Elephas maximus indicus: one gene and its partners. The protein of the gene in region 3 purifies or fractionates together with the protein of the main gene of each other region. This does not show direct contact. Links are inferred from orthologs where the notes say so. Each region holds a gene or a part of one and is shown on either strand. Other genes may lie near its edges. The genes, in order: HDAC2, SMARCA4, EZH2 and CTNNB1.

Region 1 (7,490 bases), on a different chromosome or scaffold from region 3:
TAAGTTAAAACTAGATAAATTAGGCTAGAAGATTATTCAGGCTTATTACTACTGATAACTCCCCACCCACAATTCTATACACGTTCATACTTTCAGGTCATATAATTCTTTGGAGCGGAAGCTGTTTTACTTGTATACTATTTCTTTATAATTTAAAGAAAAGAAAAAAGTATTATTTACTACCTTTATAAGTTGACTAAATAGAGTTTTTTGGTAATGAAAATGTAAGCTTCTGGAATTGTGCCATTTAGCATACGCTCATATTAATAATTAGCATAATGGCTTTTATCCGATTAAAAAAAACTGCAAAATATTGTATCAGACACATACACACAAAAGGAACTCTTTTCCACAAATATTTAAAGTGTAAGCAACTAAATATCCCCTTCTAAAAATGAAGAGTCACGTAAGAGCCACAGACAAAAGACAGATGACCCACCAAAGATTTTTCCAAACTCTGTCAGTTAAACACCTGGTTGTTGGCCTTTCAGGTAAAGCAGTTGAATGATCTACAATAAAGTATTAAGCCACAATCATGAGACTCTCAGATATTCTCAGCCTATCAAGTCTGCACCCTGCCCTAGGACCCATCTTGTCCCTGCTCCTTCAACAAAGGTTCATCACAGATGGACCCAGGAACAAACAGCTGTTCAGAAAACTGCTACTCAAGTGAACCTCCTGGTTCTACAGTTCAAGCCCGGTGACCAGAAGTCGTAAGTCAGCTTGCTCCATCAGAGCCCACCACTGCCAACAGTAACTAACAGCTGCAGGAGGAGCCTTACCTCAGGTTCTCTGTCCTTTTAAAGTTTTCCCCATTCCCCAAAGCCTTGAGAAGAACATCAGAAACAAAATCATTTAAAAATTAACTTACTTTTCAATTTGACCAGGGAAGGCAGAGCCTGGATTTCACCAGTAACCTAAATATGCATGATTCTTAAACAACAAACTTTCAGAAATGTAATTTGTGATAAAATTAAAAGGTACTCCCATCTCCACCCCTACGACATTGCATAATTTCACATCAATTTATGTTACACATGTATGCAATCCTCTCAACAATTTTTTTTTAAATATGGCTGTTTCTGTTTTGTACTACCCACCATAAAACCAACTAGCTACCATACATCAGACAATTTAGATTTTTGATATCAGATCTTTCTGCAGACAACAAAGGAGGTTATTTTACATTGAACAGGCATAAAGACTACTTAATCCTTGCTCACTGAAGATACATGATATGGCTCTTTTCAAGTTAAGGTCAGATTTATTCTCACCTAATCCTCTAATTTTTTTTTTTTTTTAATCCTCTAGGGTCTTTTCCAACTGTAAGATTTTGTGATTTACAATACACCAAATGGAGGAAGCAGCATCCAAAATTTGTGCCTCACACAAATCAGGAAGGGTTTTCTGGCGATTGAGGCTCACCTCTGTTAAATTTTGAAATTTCTTCTCAAGCGTCATGTACTAGAAACTATCAAGTTAACGTTTTTGCTTAAATCTGTAAAATAAGTTGCTACTCCATTTAGTATACTTTAGAGTGACACAGGAAATAGGATTCAGAAACTACTGAATTATCCAACTTTTATAATTCACTGTACTGTGAGTTCCAGTTTACCTGATGAAAAATTTTAGTACTTCTGCACTACTCCTCCAAGTGTTCCTACACCAGGATTCCTTTCACCTAGGACAGCCTTCTCAAGCCAGATGCCAAAGCTCTCCAAAACCCCAAAGCACGGTATAATTCTTGATCGAACAAAGAGCAACAAAGAGTGGGTGGGAACCACCTCTCACAGAGGCAAGCCAGGACCCAACGAGGCTGAGCTACAACGCAAGCATTAACAGCTCCACGTTTCCCCACCACCTCCTCTTATTTCCCGGGAAGGCTAACTGCCTCAAACTCGAAAACCCTAATTTTTCCTGCAGAAGTGGAGCCCTTTCATTGGAATCCCGCGAAAGTGGCGCTCAAAGAGCCCAGTGAACAAAGGAGAGGGATTGAGCCCACGCATAACACAGGTGGGAGTGTGCCACAAGCCGTACTAGGGGCCACATCCTCACTCACTGCTCTTCAGGAGCAACCCCCGGGTCGGCGGGTCGGGGGGGAGGCTGGAGGAGGAGAAAGGAGAAGACGCACCGGGCTGACACCGCGGGGGCAAGAGGGGAGGTTGGGGAGGGGAGGGGAAGGCGGGCGGGGACTGCAGACAGAGAGGGGGCTGGAGGGGCGGGGCTCCCGCGGCCGCAGGGCTTTGTGTGCAGTCAGGACCGGGGTAGACAGTTTGACCTGGGGGGGACGGGAGAGGGATCGGGTGCAGACGGCCAGAGCAAGGGACCCCAAACCTCCGCTCCCACGAGTGGCAAGCGTGAGAGGCGCGAGGGAGGGCTGTCCCCTTCCCCACTACCACTAAGCCGCGGTAGGCCGGCGCCATCCGCAGAAGCAGCCACCTTCGGGGCAGTGGGCCGCACTGCCAGAGAAAGGGGAGCAGAAGGGAAGTGGGGCGTCCCTCCAGCTCCCGTCCGCGGGGCCGGTCGCGGCGGAGAGATCTCCCACTGGCAGCGCCAGGTCGGGAACGGGTTAAGATTCAGTCAAACGTCTGTCCCTCCTCCTTCACACCCCCAGCACCGGCGCCCACTGGCGACCGCGGCCACCGTGCCGGGCCTGGCGCGGCCCGGACTTGCAGCCTCAGCTCTGCCCGCCCACCCTCCCGGCCTCTCACCATCGTAGTAGTAGCAGACTTTCTTTTTGCCGCCTCCCTGACTGTACGCCATGGGCTCCTCAGCCACCGCCGCCTCCGGGCACCGGCTCCTCCTCTTGCTGCTGCCGCCGCGGCTCGGCGGATAGAGAACAGAGCAGGGGCGAAGGTGGAGGTGGCAGTCCCTCAGGGAAGGGCAGGCCGGAGGGAGGATAGGAGGGGGTGTCGGGAGGGGTCGGTACCACCCAGCCGAGGGGCCAGGCACTCCGAGAAGGGGGTGGCAGAGGCGCCAACTAGCGACACTGGGGAGGGGGCGGAGGCAGCTAAACCACCTCCGGGGGCCGTGGGGAGGTGGGACGCGTCCACTGTGGCCTCTAGAGGGGAGCAAGGAGCACGATTAGAGAAAGATGGTCCACTCACTCTTACGTTAAGAGCCCTAACCCTGAACAAACTATTTGCGGAGGGCGGAGCCAAGTACCGTCACGAAACGAGGAAAAAAAGGCAGGCTTTTTTTCCGCAGGTGGATAAAGGGAGCCTGGAGACAGGTTGCCGTTCTCCCCCTCGGATCTTAGCACAGTCGTTGCGCCTGTCCCGAGCCTGCGCAGTCGCCGCCTTCCCAACCGTAGCCTTCGCCGCCTAGACCCCCTCGGTGTTGTCCCACGCCGCTGCCCTCCCCCACTGTCGCGAAGCTCCCGCTCGAGCCGACCACGTGCCGTGAGCCCGGCGGGAAGAGAAGTGCTGCCCACGGCCGATGTACTTGGTCCTCTTGATTTCCTCATTTGTTCATTCATTCTTTCATTTTTTGCTGTTAATTGGTCTGAGGTACTGGCCTGTTAAGAATCCAATAAAAATGTCAAGAACAGTGTACTGGCTGGGTTTGAATAAGCATTTAGGGAACGTTTACGTGTAAGGCACGGTTCTAAGCAGTTGTGTTTATATTTCATCTCTGCCTATAATAACCAAGAACCAAATCCACTGCCATCAAGTCCATTCCAGTAGGACAGAGTAGAACTGCCACATAGGGTTTCTAAGTCTTTAAACTTTACGGAAGCGGGCTGCCACTTCTTTCTCCTGCAGAGCAGCTGGTGGGTTCCATGAGATCACCAACCTTTCGGTTAGCAGCTGAGGGCTTTAACCACTGCGCCACCAATAAAACAAACCAAACCTGTTACCGTCAGTTGATTTCAACTCCTAGCGACGCTATAGAACAGGGTAGAACCGCCCCATAGGGTTTCCGAGGAGTGGCTGGTGGATTTGAACTGTGACTTTTTGTTTAGCAGCTGAAGGCTTAACCACCGTGCCACTAGGGCTTTGCTCCACCAATAGATACATGTTATATCATTATAGGAACCCTGGTGGTGCAGTGGTTAAAGTGCTCGGCTGCCAACCTAATTGTCTATGTTCTCATTGAACTCACCAGCTGCTCTGCCGGAGAAAGATACGGCAGTCCACTTCAGTAAAAATTTCAGCCTTGAAAACACTATGGGGCAATTGTACTCTGTCCTATAGAGTCACTATGACACTAAAAAAAAAAAAGTGACACTAGGAACCGACTTAAAGACAATGGGTTTGGTTTTGGGCTTATTATATCATTTAAGACTCCCAACAACGCTAGGATGTAAATACTATTTCTGTTATTTAAGACGGAGGCAGATTAAGGAACCTGATCCTCACAACTGCTAACTGGTGGTCTGGGGATTTGGACTCAGGTAGTTGCCCTGGTGGTGCAGTGGAAAGAGCTCAGGTTGCTTACCCAAAGAGTGGGCAGCTCACATTAACCAGCTGCTCCTTGGAAACCCTATGGGGCAGTTCTACTCTGTCCTTTAGGGTTGCTATGAGTCAGAATTGACTGGGCAGCAAGGGGGTTGGTTTTTCGTTTTTTGTGTTTTTTGGGGGGGGGGGTTAGTTTAGTTTTTCACCAAGGAGCCCTGGTGATGCAAAGGATAAACGCTTGGCTGATGACCAAAAGGTTGGCAGTTCAAATCTCCAGCTCTGCTAGAGAAAGACCTGGCATTTTTCCGGAGAAAGACCTGATGGTTTGCGTCTGTAAAGATTACAACCAAGAAAATGCTATGGGCCAGTTCTACTCTATCCCATGGGGTCGCTATGAGTCAGAATCCACTTGATGACACCCAACAACAGTCTTTCTCTAAGATCCACATCCCCTAGCTGCTACACTATACCAATTCTGTTGCTGGCTGGATACTGGAAGATTGGAGCAGCAACCTAAGAGAAAGGACTTTACAAACTCATATAAGTTATAAATACCTCTGTCCCCAGGTCATTAAGTTAACATGTATCAGGGACCTACTCTAAAAGAGCCCCGTATAACACTCTTATCCCAACTATATCATTTGCAATTGTCCCCACAATGCACACTCCCTCCCACACACCCTTTAACTGAAGCAGGAGCTATTTGGAGCTACTATCAAAAACTTGCATTTTGTTTTGCTATATGACTTGAAACTTCCCAGGGTATTCATCTGTACAGCAGCAATTTTCCTGGGCCTCACACACAAGAGGTTTAGTAAAAGTAAGTCCAAGGTAGACCTTCTCCCCACCCTCAATCTTTATTTTTAACGAGTACCACAGGTGCCTGATGCCCATGATACAGGAACCACAGTGTGAGAAACATTGGCTTAGAGGTAAAGTCAATTACATGGCATTGACTTTCTAAGTGTTGCTCTAACGAGTCCAAACTCAATTTGGTAGATTCTGAGAACAGAATAAGTTAATTTAGTGAAAACTAATGTTCTCCCCCATAGGCAACCTCATGAAGTCTGAAATGAGACTCCACTTCTTTCAGATCCCCTCTCCTAAGTTTATTCTCTGTGCCCTTTACATGCTCCCTAGGGCCCTGTAGCCCCTCTAGCTCAACGTTCACCGTGTTATAGTGTCCATGTTGCCCACTTATCAGAATGTCCCTTTGGAACAGAACTTTGTAAGAAGAGGGACTGTGTTTGTCTTGTTCATAATTACATTTCTAATGCCTGTGTGACTTTGGGCAAGTCACTTAAACTTCTTTTTTTCCACTCTGAATTGCCTTATCTGTAAAATGATAGCATTACTTGGAGAGTAATTTTTTATATGAATATTGACAGATTCAAATAAGAATTAATATGGAGACATTTTAAACTGTAAAGAAGTATGTGAATATAAGGGGCAACTATGATTATTCTTATAGTACAAATTATTATAATAATAATTTTTGTCATTTACATTCACAACACCTAGCCTTGACCTTTTGAGAAGAGCCTGAACATGAATCTTGATTGGTTAAGGACAGTAATAGTTATCTAGTGCTGCTTTAACAAATACCACAAGTGGATGGCATAACAAAGGGAAGTTTATTTTCTCACAGTAAAGTAGGTTAAAAGTCCAAACTCGGGGTGTCAGCTCCAGGCGAAAGCTTTCACTGTCCTCCTCTCTCAGCCTTCTCATCAATCTTCCCCTGGACTAGAAGCTTCTCTGCGCAGGAACCCTGTTTCCAAAGGACATGCTCTGCTCCTGGCACAGCTTTCTTAGTGGTATGAGGCCCTCTGTCTCTCTGCTTACTTCTTTTATATCTCAAGAGATTGCCTCAAGACACAATCCAGTCTTGTAGGTTGAGTCCTGCCTCAGAAACACAACTGCTGCCCATCCTCCCTCATTAACATCATAGAGGCAGGATTTACTATATATAGGAAAATCACACACTACCGGAGAATCATGGCCCAGCCAAATTGGTATACAAATTCTTGGAACAAAATTCAATCCACGACACGGACCTTGCTATATTATTTGTTATCTAACTATTTGAAACAAATAGAAGCAAATGAATTTACCTTTGGAATCAGTACTGCAGCAGTTCGATCCAGTGATAAGAGCTGGCCATGAGAATTATGCTCCTAAATATCTATACTGAACTTTAGATCATGAGAACTAAGGTCAAAAGAAGGATCCATTATTGGAACCCTTTGATAAACTCCAAACTTCATTTCCCATATTGAAACATCTCCATCAACCCTTTTTCCATTAGAAAACAGAAAGTTTAAGATGATATGCAATAAAAGAAAACAAGCTGAGAGTGTGAATAATTGATAGAATTCATAATTGAAGATTGTCTTCATCCTTAAACTATTTTGCTTTAGTTCCTGCTCTGTCTATATAAACTTATTTTTTCAGTCTCAAAGATGTTTGGTGCTTTGAGCTTATTCAGTAAAATGATCTGTTAAACCTAAAGGGATTATTTAAACCAGGACTGTTTAAAAACAGATTGCCTGAGCTTTCCCTAAAAATTGTACCCTATTACCAACTATAGCAGATAGTTTAATTTTTAGTTGCTATAAAAGAGCTTTTCATATAATCTTGTTTCTACTCTAAAGAAATTTAGATTTCTTAGTGTTAAATTCTGTGCAGTAATTCTATAAAGTAATACAGAAGGTAGAGGAGCATAGCGACTGATGCTTGGGTGTTGTTACAAACTAAAACAGTCTCAAGCTGAATTCTGATCACTTCAGAGGCACGGTGACTATTTGGAAACCCTGGTGGTGTAGTGGTTAAAAGCTATAGCTGCTAACCAAAAGTCGGCAGTTCAATACACCAGGTGCTCCCTGGAAACTCTGTGGCGCAGTTCTACTCTGTCCTCTAAGGCCACTACAAGTTGAAATCAGCTTGACAGCAACAGGTTTTTTGGTTTACTACAAGTTGTAACTCATAAACCTGAACAGCACGCCAAACATGAGAGATTATGATGTGATTTGAACTGTGCCTTTGTTTAACAAAATTTAATGATTATCCATTTACAGAAAACAATATATATTT
Region 2 (7,429 bases), on a different chromosome or scaffold from region 3:
TATTGGTCCAGTTGTGATGATTTCTGTTTTCTTTTATGTTGAGGTGTAATCCATACTGAAATCTGTGGTCTTTGATCTTCATCAGTAAGTGCTGCTATAACAGAAATACCAGAAGTGGGTGGCTTTAACAAACAGAAATTTATTCTCTCACACTCCGGTAGGCTGTAAGTCCAAATTCAGGGCGCTGGCTCCAGGGGAAGGCTTTCTTTCCCTGTCAGCTCTGGAGGAAGGTCCTTGTGATGCATCAGTGTTCCCTTGGTCTGGGAGCATTTCAGCACAGGAATCTCAGGTCCAAAGGACACGCTCTGCTCCTGGCTGCTTTCTTGGTAGTATGAGGTCCCCGTGTCTCTCTACTTGCTTCTCTCTTTTATATCTGAAAACAGATTAGCCTAAGACACTATCTACTCTTGTAGATCTCTTCAGTATAACTGCCACTAATCCATCTCTTTACGTCATAGTGATAGGATTTACGAAACATAGGGAAATCACATCAGATGACGATGGTAGATTATCGTACAATACTGGGAATCAGGACCTAGCCAGGTTGACAGATAATTTTGGGGGACACAATTCAATCCACGACATGCTCTTTATAACCACACCCACTTCCCTCTTGGCAACCACTAACCTGTCCTCAATTTTTAAATGTTGTCATTTCAAGAATGTTATATAAATGGAATCGTTTATCAGGGAGGGAGCAAAGGGTCTGTATGTCACTGTGAGGACTAACTTCGTCTTTCACTCTAGGGAAGAAGAAAGCCACTGGAGGGTTCTGAGCAAAAGAGAGACATGATGGAACCTAAATTTTAACACCTATTAAACATCCAAGCAGTGGTGTCTGGGAGATAGCTTTATGAAGTGTAAGGGAAAGGTCAAGGCAGGAGGTACACACTTGGAAGACATCGGCATGTAGGTGGTTTTGTAAAGTCACATGCCTGGAAGCCAAGGGGGTGAATGTAGATAGAGGACCAAGATCTGCATTCTTGGGCAGTTTACTATTAAGAGTTTAGTGTGACAAGGAGGAAGCTGCACAGGAGACTGAGAAGGAGCCGACAATGAGGTGGGAAGAAAACCAGGAGAGTGTGGTGTTCTGGAAACTAAGTGGGGAAGTTGTTCCAAGGAAGAAGGAACGGGTCAAGTGTTGCTGAGAGGTAAAGGAAGGCGAAGATGAGAATTAACCACTGGATTCAGCAATGGGAAGGTCCCTGTGACATTGACAAGAGTTACTTCAGTGGAGCAGGAAAGACTTGACTAGAGCAAGTTTAAGGGAAATTACAGAAGCCCTAAGTAAATGGAGAGATAGACCATGTTCATTGATCGGAAGACGTAATATTGTTAAAACTGTAATTCTCTCTAAATTGGCCTGCAGATTCAATGCAATCTTAATACAAATCTCATCAGGTTTTTGGGTAGATATTGACAAGCCGATTCTAAAATTCTAAATGGTAGAAATGCAAAGGACTTTGTCAAAATATTTTTTTTTTAAAAAAGAACAAAGCTGGAAAACTTACCCTACCTCATTTCAAGACTTATTATTGAAGACAGCGTGGTGTGGGCTTAAGGGTCGACATATAGATCAATAAATAGTCCAGAAACAGACCCATACTTAAATGGTCAAGTGATTTTTTTTTTTGACAAAAGTAACAAGGTAATTTAATGGGGGAAAAGGACAGTAGGGAACACTAGGCGTTAGAATGGTTGGCTACCTCTATGGAAAACATTGAACTTCTGGCCTTACCTCATACCATACATAAACATTAACTTGCAAGGGATTACAGACCTAAATATAAGAGCTAAAGGCATCAGCTTTGTTTAAAGTTCCCCCAGGGACTCCAAGGTATAGCCCAGAATCACTGGTCTATAGAATTGTTTTCTATAGGCATCTTGTCCCTAAACCAAAACAGGATTCTAGAGCCTTCCCTTCCAGGGTTTCTAGGTCTCCATTGTCCCAGCTACACAGAAAGCCCAAGTCTCACTCTTAGCCCCCCTTCTCCTTCACCCATCAGGTCCAGTCGTTCAAGGTTTATCCATTCTGCCTCCAATTTCCTCCACCCCTCTCCATCTCAACCATCTTCACTCTAGTTTAAGCTGCCATCCTCTCAACCTGGGCCACTCCAATAGCCTTAATGGACTCTCACTGCCTCTCCTTTTCCTCCAGCCTAATCTCTGCCCAGCAGTCAGTCACGGGATTCTCCTGATTAAAGCCATTCAACTGGTTCCCTCTGTGCTACCGAAAAAGTTAAGAATCCTCACCTCAGCCCTCAATGCTCTGCCTGGTATGACTGCTGCTGACCACGCCCCCTTGCCCCCCATCACCATTTCTTCCAGCCACAGAGGTCTTTTTCTGTTCCCATGCTCTTATTCTTTTCAGGGTCCTGTTCCTCTACCTAGTGCCCTCCTTCTCCCTGCTCTTGCTCATCCTTCTTGGCATCAATACCATTTCCTCAGAGAGGTTTCTGTGACTCCTCAATCCAGGAAGACCCCGTTATGATCTCGTTGCATCCTGGGGACTTTTCTTTTCTATCACATATTAGTAACCAGCATGGGAGACAGTTGACTAACATGTGGACTGTGTGCTCCGTGGGTAGGAACCCTTGGTAAGTCACTGTAGGCCTGTGACCAGCTCAGTGCTTGACATGTTGAGGGAACTTAACAAATACTACTTGAATGAGAGAGGCTGAGGTTCAGACCTACTTGTCCATTTTCTGTGCATTACTCAACATTACTTGCTATAAGCAGCCTGTGAGGTGGATGCCATTATTGTTCCCATTTTCCAGGTGAAGAAATTGTTATGTAGATGGGACAAGGGAACTTGCCTGGTATCACCCAGCTAATAATACTGGAGTCAGGTTTTAAATCCAGGTCTTTTGGACTCCAGCATGAGATCTCACCTTCTGCTAGAAACTGCAAGTCACTCACCTTGGGCTGATGTAGGTACGACACCTGGCACAAATACACTCGAGACAGTCTCTATTATTCTTTCAATACAATTTTTAAAGTGTCTATTATGTCGAGGTATGGGGCCCTGGTGGCGCAGTGTTAATAGGTCAGCTGCTAACCAAAAGATCCACGGTTTGAATCCACTATCGGAAGCCCTATGGGTCAGTTCTGCTCTGTCTTATAGGGTTGCTATGACTCGGAATCTACCCCACGGCAACAGGGTTTTTTTTTTTTTTTCTTCTATTATGTTGGGGAGGAGAGCACCAAGCTAGATGTTGGGTATTCGCTAGTGACTACAACTGGTTACATCTTTGCCATTTAAATTGAGATGCAGAAGACAGATGATAAAAGAGACTATCCATGAAATATGAAGGAAGGGAAAAGTAGGCAGTGATCAAAAAGAAGGCAGGTCTGAAGTGCTGAAAGTCAGCTGAAACCTAAAAAATGAGGAAGAGCAGGCCTGGGCGAAGCAGTGGGAGGAGCAGCCCAGGCCGAGTACTACAGGTTGTGGGACTTGACCTTGGTGAGCTCTTGTCCGGTTAGGGGCCGAATGAGGTGGCGCTGAAAGTATTTTAAAAATACAGATAAGAGCCCTGGAGTCCTAAGGCCTTCCCACTTGCCAGTCCCTTTGGTAGGAACAAGCTCTGTCCCTCACTGCTGTCACGTTTAGTGAGAAGTCGTCTTCGCAGCGAGACCTTCCCAGCTTGCCCTATTTAAAGTTTCCACGACACTGCATGTCTCCGTCCTACAACATATTTTACTTATCTTTTTCTTGTCTGCCTCGCCCCCCACACTAGACCCTCAGCTCCACACCGGCTGGGATTTCAAAGGTCTGTTCGGTACTACAGCACCAGCGCCTGGGACGCAGTAGCAGCTCTATAAATATCTGCTGAACTAATTAATTAATGGTACTCGGTGGGTGTTGCAGAGAAGGCGATCACAGCCGAGCCCGTCTGGCCTCGCAGAACAGGCCCCGCCGCCCCGGGCCAGGGACGAAAGCGGTTCCCAGGCCTGTCACTGGCCCGCGGACGACTCTGCGCAGCCCCGGCCCCTGTTGGGCTGTCTCTCGCCCTCATGCACGGCTCCGAGTGTTCGTATCCGAACCTCAGGGTCCCTCGGCCAGCCCCTGCCCGCACACCCCGCGACCACCCTGCCCCATCCCCCAACCTGCCGCCGCAGTGACACCCACTCCGCGCATGCTCAGCGGCGTGTGGACGCGCGTCGTGCGGAGGAGGAAGATGCCTATGCGCAGGCGCAGGGCCATTCCGGACCGAGCTGGGAGGTGCGTCGCGCGCGCGTGCTCCTTCTGGGTCCCGCCCACCTCCCCTTGCTCTCGCGCGGGCGCGCACGCGCGCGAGGGGTGGAAGGGCCGGCGAGCGCGCGCACGAGGCCGGGCGCCAGCGGAACTCAAGAGGCCGTCCGTGGGGGGAGGGAAGTCGGCGCGCACGCGCGCGCAGCGGGGGCGCGGGCGGTGGGGGGGCGGCCGAGGCGGGCGCGCGCTCAAGGCTTCCCTTCGCTCGGCGGCGGCTGTTTCTTTGTTTCGTGAAGAGAGGCGAGACGCCCACTGTGCCCCCGGCCCCGCGCGGAGGGGCGGGGGCGGCGCCGGGAAGGCAACGCCGCCGGCAGTTCGGGTAAGGAACGCGGGCTGCGAGGGGAATGCGGCGCGGGCCTTGGGAAGACGGTTTGAATGGAGCCGGGGCGCCGAGGGGGGAGGGGGCCGCCGGCGCCCGGAGCGGGGCCGGGGTACGGCGGCGCCCGAGGGTCAAGAAGCCCGGGCCCGCCGCCGCGCGCGCGGGGAAGGCCACAGTGTAGGGAGGCCGCGGTGACTACAGTATCCGCGGGCGGGCGGGCCCAGGGAAGGGGGGCCCGGGCCTCGTGGAGGCCGCGCGCCCCCCGCGCGCGCTCTCGCCGGGGTCGTCGGACAAAGCTCGCCTCCCCTTCGACGGGCCGGGGGTCCGTCCGGTGTCGCGTTCTCTGGGGAGGCTGCAACAATAGCTAGGCGTCGGGGCTTTTCTGGCTACGTTGTAGCGGGTCCGACCTGAATGTTGCCTTTTTGGCGAGGCTGTGGTTGGGGCTGAGTATGAAAAAACACACATGTGCCCATTGTCGCCTGGACATGAGCGTTAGCAGCCCTTTTGGTAATCAGAAAACCGACCTAAAATTTTATAAATAGCACGTCATTCCAGACTTTCAAGGAAACGTAAATAACTCCCCCAATTTCTTGCAGGTAGTGACTTCAAAACACTGCCCTGAAGTGAGGGGAGAGGTCGGCGGCAAGCGGGCGGGGGGGGGGGGTGGAGAGGATGGAGGGAAAGATTTGCTGTTGAAACATTGTTTTTGCTTTGTATCCTTTGCCCACTCTCCCAATTTATTTTCCAGATTAAGGCAGTTATTTAAAACGTAGACTTTTCAGGCAAGTGTTTCGTGCTGATCTCAGACATACCAATTGTAATTTTTTATGAGTGATCTTTCGGGAGAGTAGAAAGGATATAAGTGTTAAGAGGCGCTTCCCAGGAATTTGAAACAAGCTTTCAGTTTGAATTGACAGACTGGATTCAAGTTTGATTCCTGGCGCTGTTGGTCATTTAGCTGTGTGACCTTAGGCAAGGGGCTTAACCTCTCTGGGCCTTTTAGGCTCCTTGTTTGTGAAATGGGGATAATTTCACAGATGGGGCTGGTGAAAGCCTGTAAAATGGTTCCTGGCAGGTATGAAGCACTATTCTTATTGTATGGTCTGATCTCCTTCTTCATTGCTCAACAAATATTTGTTGAATCTCTACTGGGTGCCCCATGTTTTGGGTTTGGCTGCCCTCAAGAAGTCTCTCCAGTTTTGTAGGAGAAACAGGTATAAGTAGATGTAGCAAAAGTGGGTGGGATGGGGTGTGCAGGGATCAACCCTCCGTGGCCTGTCATTCACATGTGCCCTGTGAGGGGGACACAGTGGAAGTGCAGGGGAGTTGGGGGAACCAGAGATTAGGGAGGCTTGCATTGGAAGAGGTGGCATTCATGCAAGATCAGGGAAGATGTCCAGGCTTGTGTTTTGACTGGCAGGGATGCCACTTCAGGGACACCTTCCCTGACCACCCGGACTGGTCATTGTTCCCTTCTGCTACACACTGATACATCACGTTGATCCTTTCCATTGTAGCAGTTATCCCAATTTGTAGTTACACGTCCATCCTACTCGAGTCCCATCAGAACAGGGGCCATGTCTGCCTGGTTCTGTGCAGTATACCCTGGACCTGGCACACAGTAGGCCCCCCCCGTGAACATTTTTGAAGTGAACTAGTGGGTCTTTGGGGGAATTGAATGAATATGTGTGTGAAGTGCTTGGCTTAGGACTGGGGGTGGGTTGTAAGCGGTAAGGGTTAGCTGCTGTTGTTGGTCTTTTGACTTTCCAGGCCAGTGTTTCCCAAATCTCAGCACCCCCTGGAATAGGGGTGTAGGATGCCATGTGTGGACAGTATGGGGTGGTGATGAGAAGTGCTTGTTCTGGAATCAGACCTGCTGAATTTGCATCCAGTCCTCGAAATCCTAGCTGGTTTTGAGTAAGGCACTGAACAATAGGTCCCCCCACTTGTGAAACAAGTATGATGATGAGGCCAGCTCAAATGGGTGCTTTGAGGATTGCCTGAGATAACATGGGAAGCACCTTAACACTGCAGCACCTGACATACAGTAGCACTCGAATTTGTTGGCCTTAATGTTGTTCACTTTTTTTTTTGGTAAATTAAGTGTTTAAAACACTAAAAATAGAACCTAGAACCATCCTATATCCCAGAAACCCCAGGTTTGAAGTGCTGGTTATATATACAAAAACCAAACCCTTTGCTGCCAAGTCAATTCCAACCCATAGCTACCCTGTAGGACAGAGTAGAACTGCCCCATTGAGTTTCCAGGGAGCTGCTGGTGGATTTGAATTGCCGACCGTTTCATTAGCAGCTATGTCACTTAACCACTGCGCCACCAGGGCTCCGCTGGTAATATATTTTCCCTCTCATTTCCTTTAAATCAATAATTATGAAAATCCTAAGTGTTCCTCCACGTGCCACCTGAAATCATTTTGTTTGCAAGCCCTTCAGGAGAGATGGTTCTTGGAGATTTTTGATCAGGGTAGTGACATCATCAGGTATACATCATCAGGTATAGGGCAGTGCAATGGTCTCCACACTTTTCCTGTCAGTAACGATTTCTTTAGGTGAACATCTAAATTAGAGGCATACCTCTGCCACTCCTTGTGGACCCTCAGAATGTTAGGAGGTAAGCCTAGATTACTTCCGCGGTTCCCGTGTTACCCAGTACTTAGCAGTTTATCTGATATGGGGAGTCTGCAAGGGCCTAAGTGTGCTGAGTGGATGTCTGGTGAACAAAATTCTGCCACTGAAGATGCTGAGGTCCAGGGATATCTCTTCACCAAGGGCTCTGAAGCCAACTGCCCAGGTTGGAGTCCTGGCTTTGCCACTTTTCCCCTGTGCCACAGTGAAATGGG
Region 3 (7,410 bases):
GCACCGATGTGCAGGGGACACTGCGGAGTTAACTGTGACAGCTCAAGGGACCCTGCTGTGAACAGGACTCTGGTGGGAATGTGCCATTCAAATTAAAGCTTACTTGACTTTAGGGAAAAGCCACCCAGGGTGGGTGTGTGCCCCTCACGGGAGCCAATCTCACCTTGACCTCATCCGCCCGCCGGAACCGCTTGAGCTGCCGCAGCCGCATGTACTCGGACTTTACGCGCTTCCGCCAGCACACAGGCCCCTTCTCAGACTTCTTCCCGGTCTGGCCCATGATCACTGCAGAAGCAACGGTTTCATGATAAAATCACTCATCTGGCCAGCCTAGGCTGACTGCTGAGGCTGTAATCCCAGCAGTGACAATCAATGACCACACACCATACCACCCATGTTTGCAAGACACTCTGCAGTTACACCTTGAAGATATCCCACAAAACCAGCTGCCTTCCAGGGTGTGACAGCATGACAGGAACCAGAGGGCACTGCCTCCACAGTTCTTACTCTCTGAGAGCCTTGTTTCTGTGGGAAAGAAATGCCTGAGCACATTCTAAGTTCTTGTCACTAAACTGGCTGTTACAGAAGGCAGAACTGACTAGTCAGAGGGGTCAACAGAAAGAAGTGGTGATAGGTCCAGTCACTGTGGGTGGAAACCCACCCGTGCAGCACACAGCAAGCTTGCATCCCAGCACTCCCCACCTGAGCCCCTTCCTCTACAAGGGGCTCCCGCCAGCAGAGTGGCCGAGAGATGCAACAAACCCTGAGGTGTGGCCCTCGGCTCGCTCCCAGGTGGGCCCCACTTCCTGGGGTCCCAGCACCCTTGGAGCCCACTTAGGTCCAAGTCACATCCTTTTCTATCACATTTCCTCCAAAAGCACAGAGGTCACATGACATGTTGAGATGAGATGGGCAGTTCCCGGCAGAGCTTTATTATAGGCACACCAAGGACCTCTGCTCCAGTGTCATCCAGCACTGAGAGGGTGGGGTACACATGGAGCAGCTGCTGGCTGCAGGGCAGGAGCCAGGGAGAGAGCAGCTATGGGGAGCTGCTGGCAGAGGTCTCTAGGCCAGAGACTGCAGTGAGAGAAGAATGAATGAGTCCAGGGGTTACTTAGGAGATAACGTCACCAGGACGTCGTGATGATTTAAAATGGAAAGTGAGAGAGGAAGTAGCTTTCTGGATGGAATAACTAACCAGGGATGCATGCACCTCTGCACATAACACCCTCAGGCATACGGCACTGCCTGAGGAGAAGCTTCAGAGGAAGAAAAAGGGTCCTGAGGCCAGTGGTAACTTCTACAATACTCCATCCACAACCACATGGTGATGCAAAAGCAGAAGGTGGTTTATTCAGAGCTGAAAGAAAGGGAGACAAAGAATGGCATTTTCTCGAGCATGTAATAAATGACTATTATGAAGCAGGTAACAGGTGTACAAAGGTGAATGAGACACACCTTGCCCTTACAGAGTTTACACTCTAGCCAAGAAGGCATAAAGAAGCAAATGCAGTCTGGTACGCGCTCCAGACACAAAAGTACCTATAAGGTCAGAGTTAGGAAGAGTGGGGAAGAAGGATGCGCACTTGAGAAGGACTGCAGGCAGACAGGACAAGGGAGCCTTAAAGATGAGCTGGATTTCTCTGAGGTATGAGGGACTCTATGGTCTTTTTCAATCACCTCCTGTGCATGTGAAAGCTGGACAATGAGAAAGGAAGACAGAAGAAGAACTGATGCATTTGAACTGTTGTTTTGCCAAAGAATACTGAATATACTGTGGACTGTCGGATAAATAAACCCATCTTAGAAGAAATACAGCCAGAATGCTCCTTAGAAGCGAGGATGGTCATCAGGAAAGACCAATCACTAGAAAAGGACATCATATTTGATAAAATAGAGGGTCCATAAAATGAGGGAAACCTTCAGTGAGATGGACTGATACACAACAGCCACCAACAATGGACTCAAACATACCAACAATCATGAAGATGGTACAAAAATGGGCAACATTTCCTTATTATACACAACGTCACCATGAGTCACGGGTAACTCAAGGCAACTAACAACAAAGGCATGAGCTCGAGAAAGCTGGGCGTGGGGCAGGTGAAGGCAGGGAGCTGGCCGGAAGACACTGTCAACAGGAGCAAGGGTGGGGGAAAGAGGAGGAGACAGCTCTGAGGATGGGCAGGGGCGACAATGAGGGCTGAAGAAGGTCACAGGCCCCAAGGACGGCCTTCCTGAGGGGGCTGGCTGGGCAAATCTGTGGGTTGTTAGAACGGAGAAGACTAACTCAAGCAGAAAATGAGGTTAGCAAGGGAAGGTGAAGCAGGACAAAAAGACGTCAGTTAGGAAGAAACACGTCAATAGTTCAGTGACGTGTTTGCTTTCATACATGCTAGCTTAGTTAACAGATGAGCGTAAGTATTTCTACGCAAAATTTTTCAGACCTTTCAGCACTCCAAAGGCCTAGAAACTAGAAGGGAAAGGAATCAGCTAAAAATGAGAGCCCACTGGATCATGACAACTAGTCTACCTGCTGCCTTGGCCACTTCCTGGTCCTTGGAGCTGGCGCCCCTGCGCCATAAAACCTGCAGGACTGTGGTGCTCAGTTAATGCACTGTGGCGTGGGTACTGCGGCAACATGCCTTTTAAGACGCACATTTTATGCCCTGGTGAAGAGACAGCACTGTATTGTTTGAGCACTGCTGCCCTCCTTCCAAGCAAGGTCTCTAATAAAGCTTGCCATGACAAGATTCTCCCCTCTTACCGAAGATGCCACCTGAGCCAGACAGGATGCCAGGTCGACACGACACTTCAGAACTGACTCCAGAACAAACATCTCTGTAACAGGGCATACACGTTGCTGTGTATATTCTCAATAACAAAATAAATAACATTTAGGGAAAAAAGGAGGGCATATACCATAAGTTCTATGCTTATAAATTTCTCAACACTCTTCCAAAGAAGTACATAGGTTAAGACTTTAACCTACAGGATGGTCTGGTAACTGCAAAGTGGGGGGGGGGGGGGGGCGGGGGGGGATAAATATATATACACGTGCGCACACACACACACTATATACACACACACACTATACATACACACACATACACACATATATACACACACACTATATACACACACTACATACATACACACACATACACACTATATATGCACACACTATATACACACACACACATATATACACGTACACACACATACACACACACATACACACAATATATACGCACACACTATATACATATACGCATACTATATACACACACATATATAGACGTACACAATATATATATATACACACATTATATACACACACATACATGCATATATATACACACACTATACACACACACACATATACACACACATATATGCTAGTTCATTCAGGAGAAACTATCAAAATGTAAGGATCGTGACCTCTGAATTACAAGCTAAGAAATAAATCTAAGTGTTCAGACTGTTCTTTCAAAGTATGGGGATAGGTAGGCAGATCCTTGAAAAGATGAGAAAATTTAAGGCACCACTGAGAAGGATGTTTTACAGAAAACAAACGCCCACCCGCCTTCACAGCACTCTATGTCTGTCTATGAATGTCTAGCTTTCCCGTTTGTCAGCGGGTCGGCTCCCACTCTTAAGTTCCTCAATAGAAGAATCGTTTTTATTCACTTGTAAAACCCCTGAGCCTGGCTACGTGCCTGGCAAACAGTAGACTTAAAGACAAATAAAAACAAAAAACACTGAAATGGATGACTTGCAGGCTTGTCTCCCACTGGGCCCAGGTATGGAAGGGAGGCTGCCTGCCCGCACTTGAGGCAGAAATGTCCCGTGAATCTCAGGGACGGAATATGGGCCCTGTGGCCTCACCTACCCTTACCGATGAATACAACTCGAGCACAAATCCTGGCACCTCTGGGATTTACATTTGATAAGAAAGCTGGTATTTCCTCAAAGTCCTCATCCAAAAACAGGGATAGCACCACCTACCCTCAAGGCTTGTCAGATACACCAAATGAGAGCCACACACACACATACCTGGCCCTTCAGCTGGCCCACAGCAGGTCCTCCCACGACAGGGCAGAGCTGGGCTCAAGTGGGCCTTCTGACTCCATTTCTGTGCTCGAGGATTAAAGCTCCAAATATGATGTAGCGGCAAAGGCAACATTTATTTAAACACTGGCTACTACGTGGATGGGGACTTGTGGATACAACCAGTTTTTTGTTTTGTTCTGTCTTTAATTTCTCGTTGGAAAGATGTTCTAGTTTCATAGGTGAAATGACATTATCCAGGATATGAAAACAGCTTCCTCATTCAAAACAAATCATAACTCCAGTGATTGGAACGAGACTCTACCTGTGAGTGAAAATTCAAAAGCCAAACCAGACTATGGCCAGGGACGATCAAACCCTTCACAGAATACAGTACAGCCTTCCATGACTGCTGTTCTACAGGTTAAATAAAACTCAGGAGAGACCACAAAGTCCAGCCTGTTTTATGAATCAAACCAATCTCAGAAAGATCACCCACACGGGCAGGCCCTTTAACCTCACTGCCCATAAAAGTAAACACAAGAGTGTTTGCTTCAACTCACCCCTCATCAGGGACTCACACAGCTATCCTCCAAGGGTCAGGAACATCTGAGGAGGCGACTCAGCTGACCAAGGACACCATCTCCCTGGAGACAGTGATAGGTCCATCACAAGGACTCTTAGGAATGGTCTCTACTAGATTTGAACATGGAAACATGCAGCCCAAGGAACTGCTGGGGGCATCTTGTAACCACAGAAGGAGAGTCTGCAAAGAGCAGAGTCAACAACAGAAAAAGAGAAAGAAAGAAACCACCGCAGGCACACTGTGCACGCCCTGAGCCAGGCCAGCCCTGCCAAGTCACCTCCCCATTCCTTCAGTTACAATAGTCAACAAACTACCTTTGTTTGTCTAAACCAGTCTGGGTCAGGCTTTCTACCACCTGAAGTGCAGGGGCTTCTGGCTAAGGGACATCCAGGGCTGAGATTTCATGCCCTGCAGCAGCAGGTCCTGGCAGCAGGTTTCCTCTTCACCAGCGACATTCTTGAAGACTAGTGATGCAGGGCTGACTTACTCCCCACTAGGAGACAAGCCTCTCTACCTCTCAGATGACCAGGCTGCACCTGCCCTGAGTCCAGCTGAGTCCAGCTCTGGTCTACCTAGGAGAAGCCTTACCTAGGAAGACTCCCTGTCCTTCACTCAGTTGCTAAAGGCCAAGAAACCAAAAACTGTCCCCTAGCCGGCACTTCAGTGCCCTTGGCTACCTTTCTTAAAGGCCCTTTACTCCTAAAAAGGATTTGCTAAACCAAGGTAACATTCCAGTTGTTCCTACTTGTCCAAAGAAAACCAAGTGATAACTACAAGTACCGCTCATCCTTCCTAACTAGTCTAATAGCACTAACTTCACTCTCAATTGAACAGACAGCTAAAGAAGGTCAAATCCAAACCCAACAAAATTTAAGCAATATGATTTCAATATCCTCTCCTAACTAAAATGCTGGTTTCCTTTACACCAAAACCAGTTGCCATCAAGTTGACCCCAACTCATGGACACCTCATGTGTCTGAAAATAGAACTGTGCCCACAGGGTTTTCAATGGTTGATTTTTCAGAAGTAGATCCCCAGATCTTTCTTCCAAAGGACCTCTGGGTGGACTCAGACCTCCAACCTTCTGGTTAACAGCCAAGCACGTTAACCGTTTACACCACTCGGGGAGTCAAAATACACATTCTTTGTAGCATAACTTGAGCTCTATTTCAAGCAAACAAATATTCTCCAAACAGGCAAAATTACTAAGGAGGGGCCACAACTTATCTTTTCCAGCCTGTTCGAGCAACATTTCTGCCATCTACAAAAAAAAACTACAAGTCCCTAATTCACTCTAGAAGGCATTTCCAACCTTTTCTAACCCATAAGTACTTTTTATGGTAACATACAATACCACTGCTGTTGTTAGTAGTCATCAAGACGATTCCAACTTGGGGCTTTAAAATTAAATTTTGCCAATTCTGCTTACACTGATTAAATAATTTGAATACTGAAGTACTGTAGATCAGAATTGATGAACAGGGACACTCACGCTGCAATTTTTTCCACCCAATATATGACAGGTCAGCATACTTCAAAATTAAGTTCCTCTTAACAGAATCTTTTATAAAATCCATGAAGATGGATTCTACTTTTCCCATTTAACAAATGATACATGGTGTTTCCTTTTAAATAATTAAAATGCATGATTTTCAAAATTCAAAAGTAAAATGCTTGGTTTGGAGACTGTACACATACTAGGCACAGGGAAGGTTCTCAGTAACTGGCTATTACTTGTAAACACACTGAAGATACTCATGTATCTGCAGATAGAACATAGAGAATTTCACTATGTGCTACTGGATCAAAAACACACAAGGGTGGCTTTAATGATGTTTGAAATTCAATGTTTAGCAAAAATCAATCGTCTTATTTTCTTAAATCTTTGTTTTGCTTATAAGCATTCCTCAGCGAGTAACATACGTAAAGATGGTCTTTAGTATTAAAAATTAAGACACTAAAATGAATAGGTCATGATGTTTTGTCTTTTCAACACTTAAAAATTTACTGAAGACAGGTTGATACGCCATCTATTAATTTAGCTCATATAATACAATTAACGGATAAAGATCATCTTGAAAAAATTTGCAGGATCTTTTTTATACTCCTCATTTACTTTTTTCCATTATCAAAGTTTCTCAAGCTTTCTAACTTTAATCAACAATCTAGTATGGATGTAAATACAAATTTTATAAGCCAATGACAGCAGAGTTCACTGGGTGATACACAGAGTATACAGCCATGCAAGCTTCACTTAATTAAAAAAAAAAAAATTTTTTTTATATAGATGCTCGCAACTCTAAAGAGTTTTGTTTTGCTGGGAGAGGGGGACACTTAATTTATGACTTGCTGCTAAAGAGATCGCCCAAGTTTTCAGTGCTCTGGTCCTAAAACTATGTCACAATTATTTCCTTAGTATCTGTTGTTGTGTGCCACCAAGTCCATTTCGACTCACAGTGAGCCCATAGGACTTCCTTAGGGTCTCCTAGGCTGTAATCTTTACGGGAGTAGGCCGCCAGGTCTTTTCTCCAGAGGAGCCACGGTCAAATTGCCAACCTTTCACTTAGCAGTTGGCCACGGAATCACTGCACCACCAGAGCTCCATTTATTAGTATATAAAAATTGACTATGCAAAGGCATTAGACTGTGTGGATCATAACAAATTATGGATAACACGGCAGAAAATTGGAATTCCAGAACACTTAACTGTGCTCATGAGGAACTTGTACATAGTTCAAAAGGTAATTATTCAAACAGAACAAGGGGATACTGCA
Region 4 (7,727 bases), on a different chromosome or scaffold from region 3:
TTTCAAAAATAATGTTACAAGTCAACATACAGCACTAGAAAATAGTTGCCAATACTTTCACCGGAAGTTTGTCTTGCTCTAATAGCCTTCATTCTTTCCACCTTGAGTTGGCAGTCAAGCGTGCTTGTAGCCAAGCTCAAAGAACAGACTTAAAATTTACCACCTACTCATCTATAATTATTATCAGCAACTACTAAGCCAGGAAAGGGAAATAGACTCATAACTGGACAGATGCACTGTTTCATTTCAATAATACAAGTTTCATCTAGATAAATATACTTACACAGTCCATTTCTGGTGTTTAATTTCACTGCTACTGATAACCATGTAAGAATGATATTCAAACTTTAGATTTCTCCATGGCCCTAGTTTCAACATTCGACTTGTCATGCCCCTCCCCCCGCAACTAAACAAATAAAAAAGATATCCACAGATAGTTTTTCTAAACATCACATCTCAAAATACATTTGGGGAAACTTGCCTACTTCATGTTTTCCCTTCTATCCTGGATAACAGGATTTATGAAAACAAGCATATGGAACTCCATTTACGACAATTTTTACTCCAATCATCACTAACAGCAGTAGAAAGCTCAATTCAAAGTTCAATAAGTTTTAATACTTGAATATAAATTTTTCTACAAATTAATCTTGGTAAATGAAGTAATCAGGTTAAAAAAAAAAACTCTTGACTGCTTCTTGACACCTCTATATTGTTAAATGCTTCATTTTTTATTAGCTACCTTGTGGGAAAAAAAAGTGTTAGTTTTCCCTTACAACTATCGAAAATGACCGTTCTGGCCTCTGAAAAATTCTCAGGCCTAGGAAGCCACAAGGACTCTAAGTTACGTGCTACACTGAGACTTTTAGCGCAGTGTTTTTTTATTTCTCCCTCAAGGACTTCAAACCTGAATAGTCTCTGCATTCCTTTAATCCTATGGAACAGTCTTCTTCAAGTTTTTCAAGTTCTTCAGTTACTGTTGCAATCACTTTAGGGCCTTGTCCTTGTACATGGCCTTCAGAACAAAGACTAGGTCAAATTAATGAATATTGGGTGCAAATTAATCAAATTTTGTCTAGTCTGAAAGGAGAGTCTCAAATAAACATTGATGGTACTGTTTTTTTTTAATCCAGAGGTTTTGTGAGTTTAAATGTAGAAGTAAAACAAATGTAGCAGCAGACTTAGATCACACTTAAAAGAAAAGATTCCAAACAACACATCTTGGTCACTCATTTAAGCAGGAAGTAAATAGCAGCAGACCTTAATTAGCATTTCAAGTTTTATCTAACATTACTTTCTCAGGATGAAGACAAGGCAAGGAGAAAACTTCTCTGAAGGTATGAAATGTTCACCAAGGGACAAAGAGTGAAATGGCTTCCTAAATTCCAGGCAAAATACTTTTCTAACTTAGCAATCTGAAAAAGATTAGCCTAGACTTTATCAAAAGAAACGCTGCCGTCTCTTCAAGTCGCTGTCTAGTCTAAGCCACCGCTATTCATGATACAAAGCTCTCATTTCACTAAAACCACTCCTCGATTTCCTTTTGCCGACCTCTGCATACCAGCAGCCCAGTCTCTCTTCATTCACCACTCACAAACTCAGGGGGAGGGGAGACCACAGATGTCTGGAAGATACAAAGTATGAGACAATGCTGCCTCCAAAAGCGAGCAGAAAACGAAGGAAACAACTACAACAAACTGCCAAAGCTTTCGAGCTTAGCCGATTGAGAAGCGGGCTGTGGGAACTCCGAAAAGTCTCTGTTCAAAAAAAAAAGCCTTTCCCCCAGACAAAACACTGAAAGGAGTTGCCGTGCTTGAATTACACTTGGCCAATTTCGTAGCTGGGGAAAAATTCTCTCTGCTGGGGGGGAAAAATGTGCTCTAAAAATAGTTTAATTATAAAACTATTGGAATAAAATGCTTTTACGAACAGATTTCTCAAAACAGAGGCAAAGTCCCACACTTCACTTTACACTAACAGTCAGCCCGTCGCCCTCGGACTCCCCCCCCCCCCATTTCACTGGGTCTCACACCCACCTACATAAACCCAAGACTCCCAGTAATATCCCACGCGTCCTCGCTGGCTATCATTCACCTGCCCGACACAAGAAAATTTAGGTGCAAGACACAAATCTTACACGGGCAAACCCTGCTGGCGCATCGCACCGGCTGCACTGAAGAGTTTTGTTCCTCTAAGGCTTAAAGTTGCTTCAATTTTAACAAGCGCCAGTGCCAAACTCGCACAGGCATTAGAAAATAATAATTTTCTTATTCTCCTTGGGAAAGAAAAGGGGACTCTAGAAAGCCCACTGGCTGTGTCCCCACCGCAGGAGCGACCTAGCGTAGCGCCCCTTCCCCAGCGCCCGAACCCCAACTCTCGACTCGGGCTGGGAAGGCGGAGCCCCACCCCCGCCCCCCACCCCAGCCCCGGCGCATCCCGAGGCCCAGGGTCCCTCCCCCAAACTCGACCGCGGCCGGAGCCCCGGACGGAAACCACGGCCCCCCCAACCCGCCGGCCATCCGGGCTCCTGGACGCGCCCCCCGCGGCGCCCCCTCCTCCCCCAAGCGGCGCCCCCCGGACCGCCGAGGGGCAGCGCGAGCGGAATCGGGGCCCGGCCGCCGCCCTCCGTCCACCGGGCGCGGCCCGTCGCCGCCGCCTCCAAGGCGCCCCAGCCCGCGCCCCCCGCCTCGGGCCTCCGGGCTGCAACGGGCCCGGGTCCCCTCCGGCTGCCGGGACCGCGCGCCCGCGACGAAGTTTGGCTCCGAAGAGGGAGCAGGAGCAGCCCCGGAAGGGTAAGGAAAGGAGCGTCCAGCACCTCAGGGGAACAGGCTCCGCCCGCCGCGGGAGTCCAGTAGTCCTCGGCCTGCGGTGGCGGCTCGGCGGGGACTGAAGCTGCTCCTTGGCCCTTCCACAGTTTCCGTCTCCGCCTCCCCTCGCTCTCCGCTCCCAGGGCCGGGCTAGCGCAGCTGCCACAGACCGAGAGGCTTAAAATGGCGCCTCACAAGGAGCTCTTATAAGGGGCGCAGCAGCGCTGTATCCTGCCGCCGCTGGCGGAGCATTCCGCCACGCGAGGACAAGGGGCGGGGCGCGGGCGGGCGGTGGAAAGTAGTCCCTGGCAGCCTGGCCGCCCGCCGCGTCCCCAGGGCCCCGGGCCCGGGCGGGGCGCGCGCCCTCCCAGACCATCTTTAGGGTGCAGGCCGGTAGTTGCCTCTCCGCGCGGGAGCGGAGGCCGTCCCGTGGGGGCGTTATGGCCTGAGGCGGAGAGGCCGGAGTTCCTGCGTGCTGGGGCGGGGGCAGGGCGGCACCGAGGTCTCCCACTGTCCCGAGCCCGGCGCCCCCGCCCTGCGCGCCCACCGGAGCATGAGAGCCGACGCCGGGCTCGCCGCGCGCTTTTCGCCGCCCGCCCGAGGCGGCCCCTGGGCCCCGACCCTCGGGAGCTGTGCGGAGCGGGCAGAGCCGGGTCCCCGGAGGGTGGAAGTTCGAAGCCGAGGGGTGGCGGCGCGGGCACCGGGGTCGGGGCCCGCCTGCCTTCGAGCTCTGCCTGGGCGTCGCCGCCGCCGACCCCGCTGCCCCGCTGTCCGTCGGGGACTCCGGTTGTGGTCTGTGCCACACACTCCCTGCCAGGCCAGGCTCGTAGCCCAGCTGCACACCACCCCAAAGCCCCCCACCGTCAGGATCGTGGATCTCGCATCCCGACCGGCTGCGCAGCCTGAATCCGGATGGCAGCGACCGGGCCGAGCCGCCTTCCATCCCACTACGGGAGGCTGCGCTCTAGATTGTGCGCCAGGTCTGCAATTCAACAAGTCCTTATGAGTGCCTACTGTGAACAAATGACTAATGGAGATAGATTAGCTAGAGACAGTCAGTTAGGTTAATTCTTATAGATTCCAATTTTATCTGGTTCCGCTGTGCTAAGTACCGGTAGATTTATTTGTGGAGATTTTTCTTTGTGGGAGGTGTATTTCAACGGTGTTACATGAGAAAGCGAAGTATGTTGTTTACGGAAGGAGTTGTCGACTAGACAGCCTCTAATTTTTTTTTTAAGCTAATTTTCTTCAACGACAAAAACATTTTCTAATTCGTTTTGATAGGCTGAAGTTGGGTCTTCATCTCCCTTGGAAATGTCCCCATTGTAATCCAGCAAGATTGGCATTTGTGAAAGCTGAAACAATTATTATCGACTCACTTTCTCTAGTCTATTGCTTTATGCTTATTTTTCATCTAAAGCAATGAAGAGAGTACAAAAAGCAACAGTGAAAGTTATGTTGGGGCTTTTATACCAGAATTATAATTAATGCATGCAAACAAGAAGCGTTTATACATAGGTACAGGCAGGAAACCTAGCCTTACTGGTTCACTCAAGGAGTAGCACTGGTAGTTTTAGCATAGCTAATACTTCAGGGCCAGTAGGTTAAACTCCGTTCTGCAGTTTTAAAAAATACTTTATTATATACAGTTATGATAACTGTCGTCTATCGCCATAGCCCATGTGGGTTCCTGCAATGAAAAAGTCCAAGCCCTAAGATGATACTCAGTGAGATCTATTGTCCAGAATGACTTTATCATATGCAGTTTTGCTAGTAATCTGTGGAATTAAGTGTAGCTGATGCTTGTGGTCAGTTCAGCTGGTCGTAATTTAGACAATTGGAACAGAAAAAGGTATTTAATCAAAGCAATATTTCTAATATAAACTCAGAAGTATAAATGGTATTTCCAGGTATTAATCCCCAATTTTAACTCTTCTGTACAGAGTTAAAGAATTTAGGGTTGATTTGATTACAGTCATATGTCTTAAAATCAGATGACAGATTAAACAGTATTTAGAGGGTTTTTTTTAGCAGATGTTTGCTTTTTCTATGCTCAGTTTATTTTTGCTGAATAAGGCATGGTGTTAACACTGGCGTAAGAAATATTTGCATCATTAGACAATCTAAAGGATAAAAATACTCTTAAATTTGTATGTCTGTATTCAGGTGCCAAAATAATCCAAGCATTTTTCTCTAAATATAGAATTAATGTTTTTAATCTGTTGATACTTTAAGCAAACACATGTTTTTAGAGGAAATGATAAGATTTGCAGCAATGCAGCAAGCAGTTTTTCCCGTCAGATGTAAGTATACTGAAGAGTTATTGGGTGACTAGCATTAAAACAAATCAGTTGAATTTAACAAATTTCTCCGATTACTTATTTCCTCCTCTCATAAAACAAATTGTTCCAATTGTCTCATCAAAAATATGAGATGACTTCTGTGCAATGAAGATAAATACTATCATTAAACCAAAGGACAAGTATCGAAATACCTAATGAGTTGGTGAAATAAGTGATTTTGTAAAAAATGATTTTTAAAAATTGACTTTGAGCAAGACATTTCATAAAAAAAAAAAAAAAACCCTTGATTATCACCTTTTCCTTGTAGAGCCAGCCCACTTGAGTTTGAGATAAATTAATTCGTTCTGTGAGACTGCAACAGACAAATGGTTCTAAATTTCAGCCAGTGTCCCTAGAAACCCAGCACGTCTCCAGCTGGTTTAGCAGTGGAGGTATTATTGTGATATTCGACCATTGGCAGATCAAGCAGTGACTACACAGAATCGAACGTAAAGCATCCCTTTGCTAAAACACATACCTTTGAATCACCTTTAGGCAAAGGAATAAATGCCCAGAGATTGTTTTTGCACTTGGGACAGAAGCATTTATCGAGTCAGCATTGTGAAGAAGGCCAGTTCACTTTTTGGGTGGTTAACTCTATCAAATCTATTAATTAAACACTTATTGAGCACCTAAGACAATGAGGTTCGTTTAGCAAGAAGGAAACAGATGACTGGATCTTTTGTATTAGATCCTTTAAATTAATAATTATAAATGTTAATCAGCACTACTTGGAAATAGAAACAGAAAACAAGAGCTGTGAAATCAGGGTGTGGTCTCTGGACTCTACATCCGAATTCCCTTAAAAGGAATCCCCTTAAAAGGAATCCCCCCCCCCAACAAAAAGACTAAATAATAGTCCGTGCTTTTAAAAACAGTAAATCCCCACTCTCTAGGAAGGCACATTAAAAGTATTTATGACAACCTGAAAACACCAGACAATAGTTAGGGTCAGTTTTTCATTTAGCAGTTCGTCAAGTGGGCTATTTATGGACTATTTTTGATTTGCAATACATCATCTCAGGGTTCAGTGTTATCTTTTGATTTCGTTCCAGCTCAACAGGCTAAGTAGTTGTAAATACCTCTTGTCAGACTACATGGTTGGCTATTCTCGCACACACAAGTAATCTGGGAACCCACTGGGCAGATTTGGCGGAGAGTCAGTGTGGAAAGCTTGCGTCTGGTGTGCATTTCAGATCGAATGAGGGGCCGTGAAGGTGGTGGAACACGATGGTGGTGGTGGTGGTGGTGGTGGCAGTAGCGTTATGTTCATGGCCTCTTCAGTTATGCCAAGAACACCCTTCTGCTCGCAGTTCTGTGTTCCGGAGGCCTTCGCTGGTTTGGCAGGACATTCCTTGCCATACTGAGGAAGTACATTTTAATGGCAACCATAGAAAGTGTGAAGGACGAGAAATGGAGACATCACCCATGATATTCAAAGAACACAAAGGTATCTGTTTCTCCATGTTGCTAAGTACTAATACAAATACCGCCACATCCCTAAGAAATCATGCTTTGGAGGCACCGTCTACCTCCCAACACACACACGCACACACCTCTAATAAAAATTTCAAAATGGTTGCAGATACTTCATTCACAGGAAGGTTAAAGGCGTTTCCCATCGCAAGAAGGATTAACTTACCGGAGGATTCTGGGACTGCAGATGTATACTGCGGCAAAATCCTAAATTCATCGAAAAAAATGATTTCTGGACTCCAGCTGCTAAAAATAATAGAATTATGGTAAATCATGGATAAGATTAAAACAACAAGCCATTTTCACATTCCAAAGTGTTCAGGAAAAAAAAAAAAAAAAAGATTCTTTTAACTCATTTCTTAAACAATGCAAATTTTAAAGTAGCTTTTCTTTCCAGAGCACGCAGCGCCATGAAATCGATAATTTTTGATCTTTCGGTTAGTAGGCAACATGGTGAGCTGTTGCAAGGACTGCAGGCAGCAGACATGTTCTTGTCAGCTAAAAATTTTCATATTGTTTTTGAGTCCATTGAGATTTGTAGATACGATATCACCAGTTTTTGTTTTAGCTTGCGCTAGGCTATGGGGACGCAAATCCTCAGTTTATCGACATAGACATGTCTATTGCTTTATATATAGTAAAAACAGGGAGTCTTACTGGATCTTAAACAAAAAATTATGTAAAAGGAGTGGCTGGTGTGATTATAATCCCATCATGCAGGGTCCACGGTTCCCATTTAGTGAAATTTCGCAGAGGGCAACTTCTTAAGAACATCCCTGCTGTGCAGAGTGAAAAGCATGAACCAACCAAAGACAGAATTCATCTGTGTTTATATTTTACAAACAATGAAAAACCTACTCTTTGTATGCCTTTGTTCCCCCACCTTATTATTTCATGAAAACTGCAGCATTTTCCCCACCCCCATCCAAACACTCACCACCCCAGACTGCAGTATGCCGTCCCTTTTTTGCTTCTCCTTCACCTTCTTTTCCGCTTTCGCAAATTCTGCACGCGCCATCTTTGTGAGGGGTGATGCTTTGCTAATTTCAGTTACCCTTATTCTCTTACAAATCAGTTCAGAAATAGAAAATTATAGTGCACG

The links.
Region 1: the proteins of EZH2 (region 3) and HDAC2 purify together in Homo sapiens (affinity purification with western blotting; 5 studies listed by BioGRID, with this or other methods). This does not show direct contact. The link is inferred for Elephas maximus indicus from reciprocal best matches to the Homo sapiens genes EZH2 and HDAC2.
Region 2: the proteins of EZH2 (region 3) and SMARCA4 purify together in Homo sapiens (affinity purification with mass spectrometry; 4 studies listed by BioGRID, with this or other methods). This does not show direct contact. The link is inferred for Elephas maximus indicus from reciprocal best matches to the Homo sapiens genes EZH2 and SMARCA4.
Region 4: the proteins of EZH2 (region 3) and CTNNB1 purify together in Homo sapiens (affinity purification with western blotting; 4 studies listed by BioGRID, with this or other methods). This does not show direct contact. The link is inferred for Elephas maximus indicus from reciprocal best matches to the Homo sapiens genes EZH2 and CTNNB1.

What each region holds. Positions count from the first base shown.
Region 1 is NC_064819.1:180,220,099-180,227,588, forward strand, and holds the start of HDAC2 (histone deacetylase 2), read right to left. Parts: upstream 3,012-7,490; 5' UTR 2,764-3,011; coding exon 2,712-2,763; intron 1-2,711. UniProt on the Homo sapiens protein: Histone deacetylase that catalyzes the deacetylation of lysine residues on the N-terminal part of the core histones (H2A, H2B, H3 and H4).
Region 2 is NC_064821.1:28,999,806-29,007,234, forward strand, and holds the start of SMARCA4 (transcription activator BRG1), read left to right. Parts: upstream 1-4,418; 5' UTR 4,419-4,571; intron 4,572-7,429. UniProt on the Homo sapiens protein: ATPase involved in transcriptional activation and repression of select genes by chromatin remodeling (alteration of DNA-nucleosome topology).
Region 3 is NC_064826.1:1,338,044-1,345,453, reverse strand, and holds the start of EZH2 (histone-lysine N-methyltransferase EZH2), read right to left. Parts: upstream 3,011-7,410; 5' UTR 2,898-3,010; coding exon 2,768-2,897; intron 286-2,767; coding exon 164-285; intron 1-163. UniProt on the Homo sapiens protein: Polycomb group (PcG) protein. Catalytic subunit of the PRC2/EED-EZH2 complex, which methylates 'Lys-9' (H3K9me) and 'Lys-27' (H3K27me) of histone H3, leading to transcriptional repression of the affected target gene.
Region 4 is NC_064838.1:45,680,694-45,688,420, reverse strand, and holds the start of CTNNB1 (catenin beta-1), read right to left. Parts: upstream 3,011-7,727; 5' UTR 2,816-3,010; intron 1-2,815. UniProt on the Homo sapiens protein: Key downstream component of the canonical Wnt signaling pathway.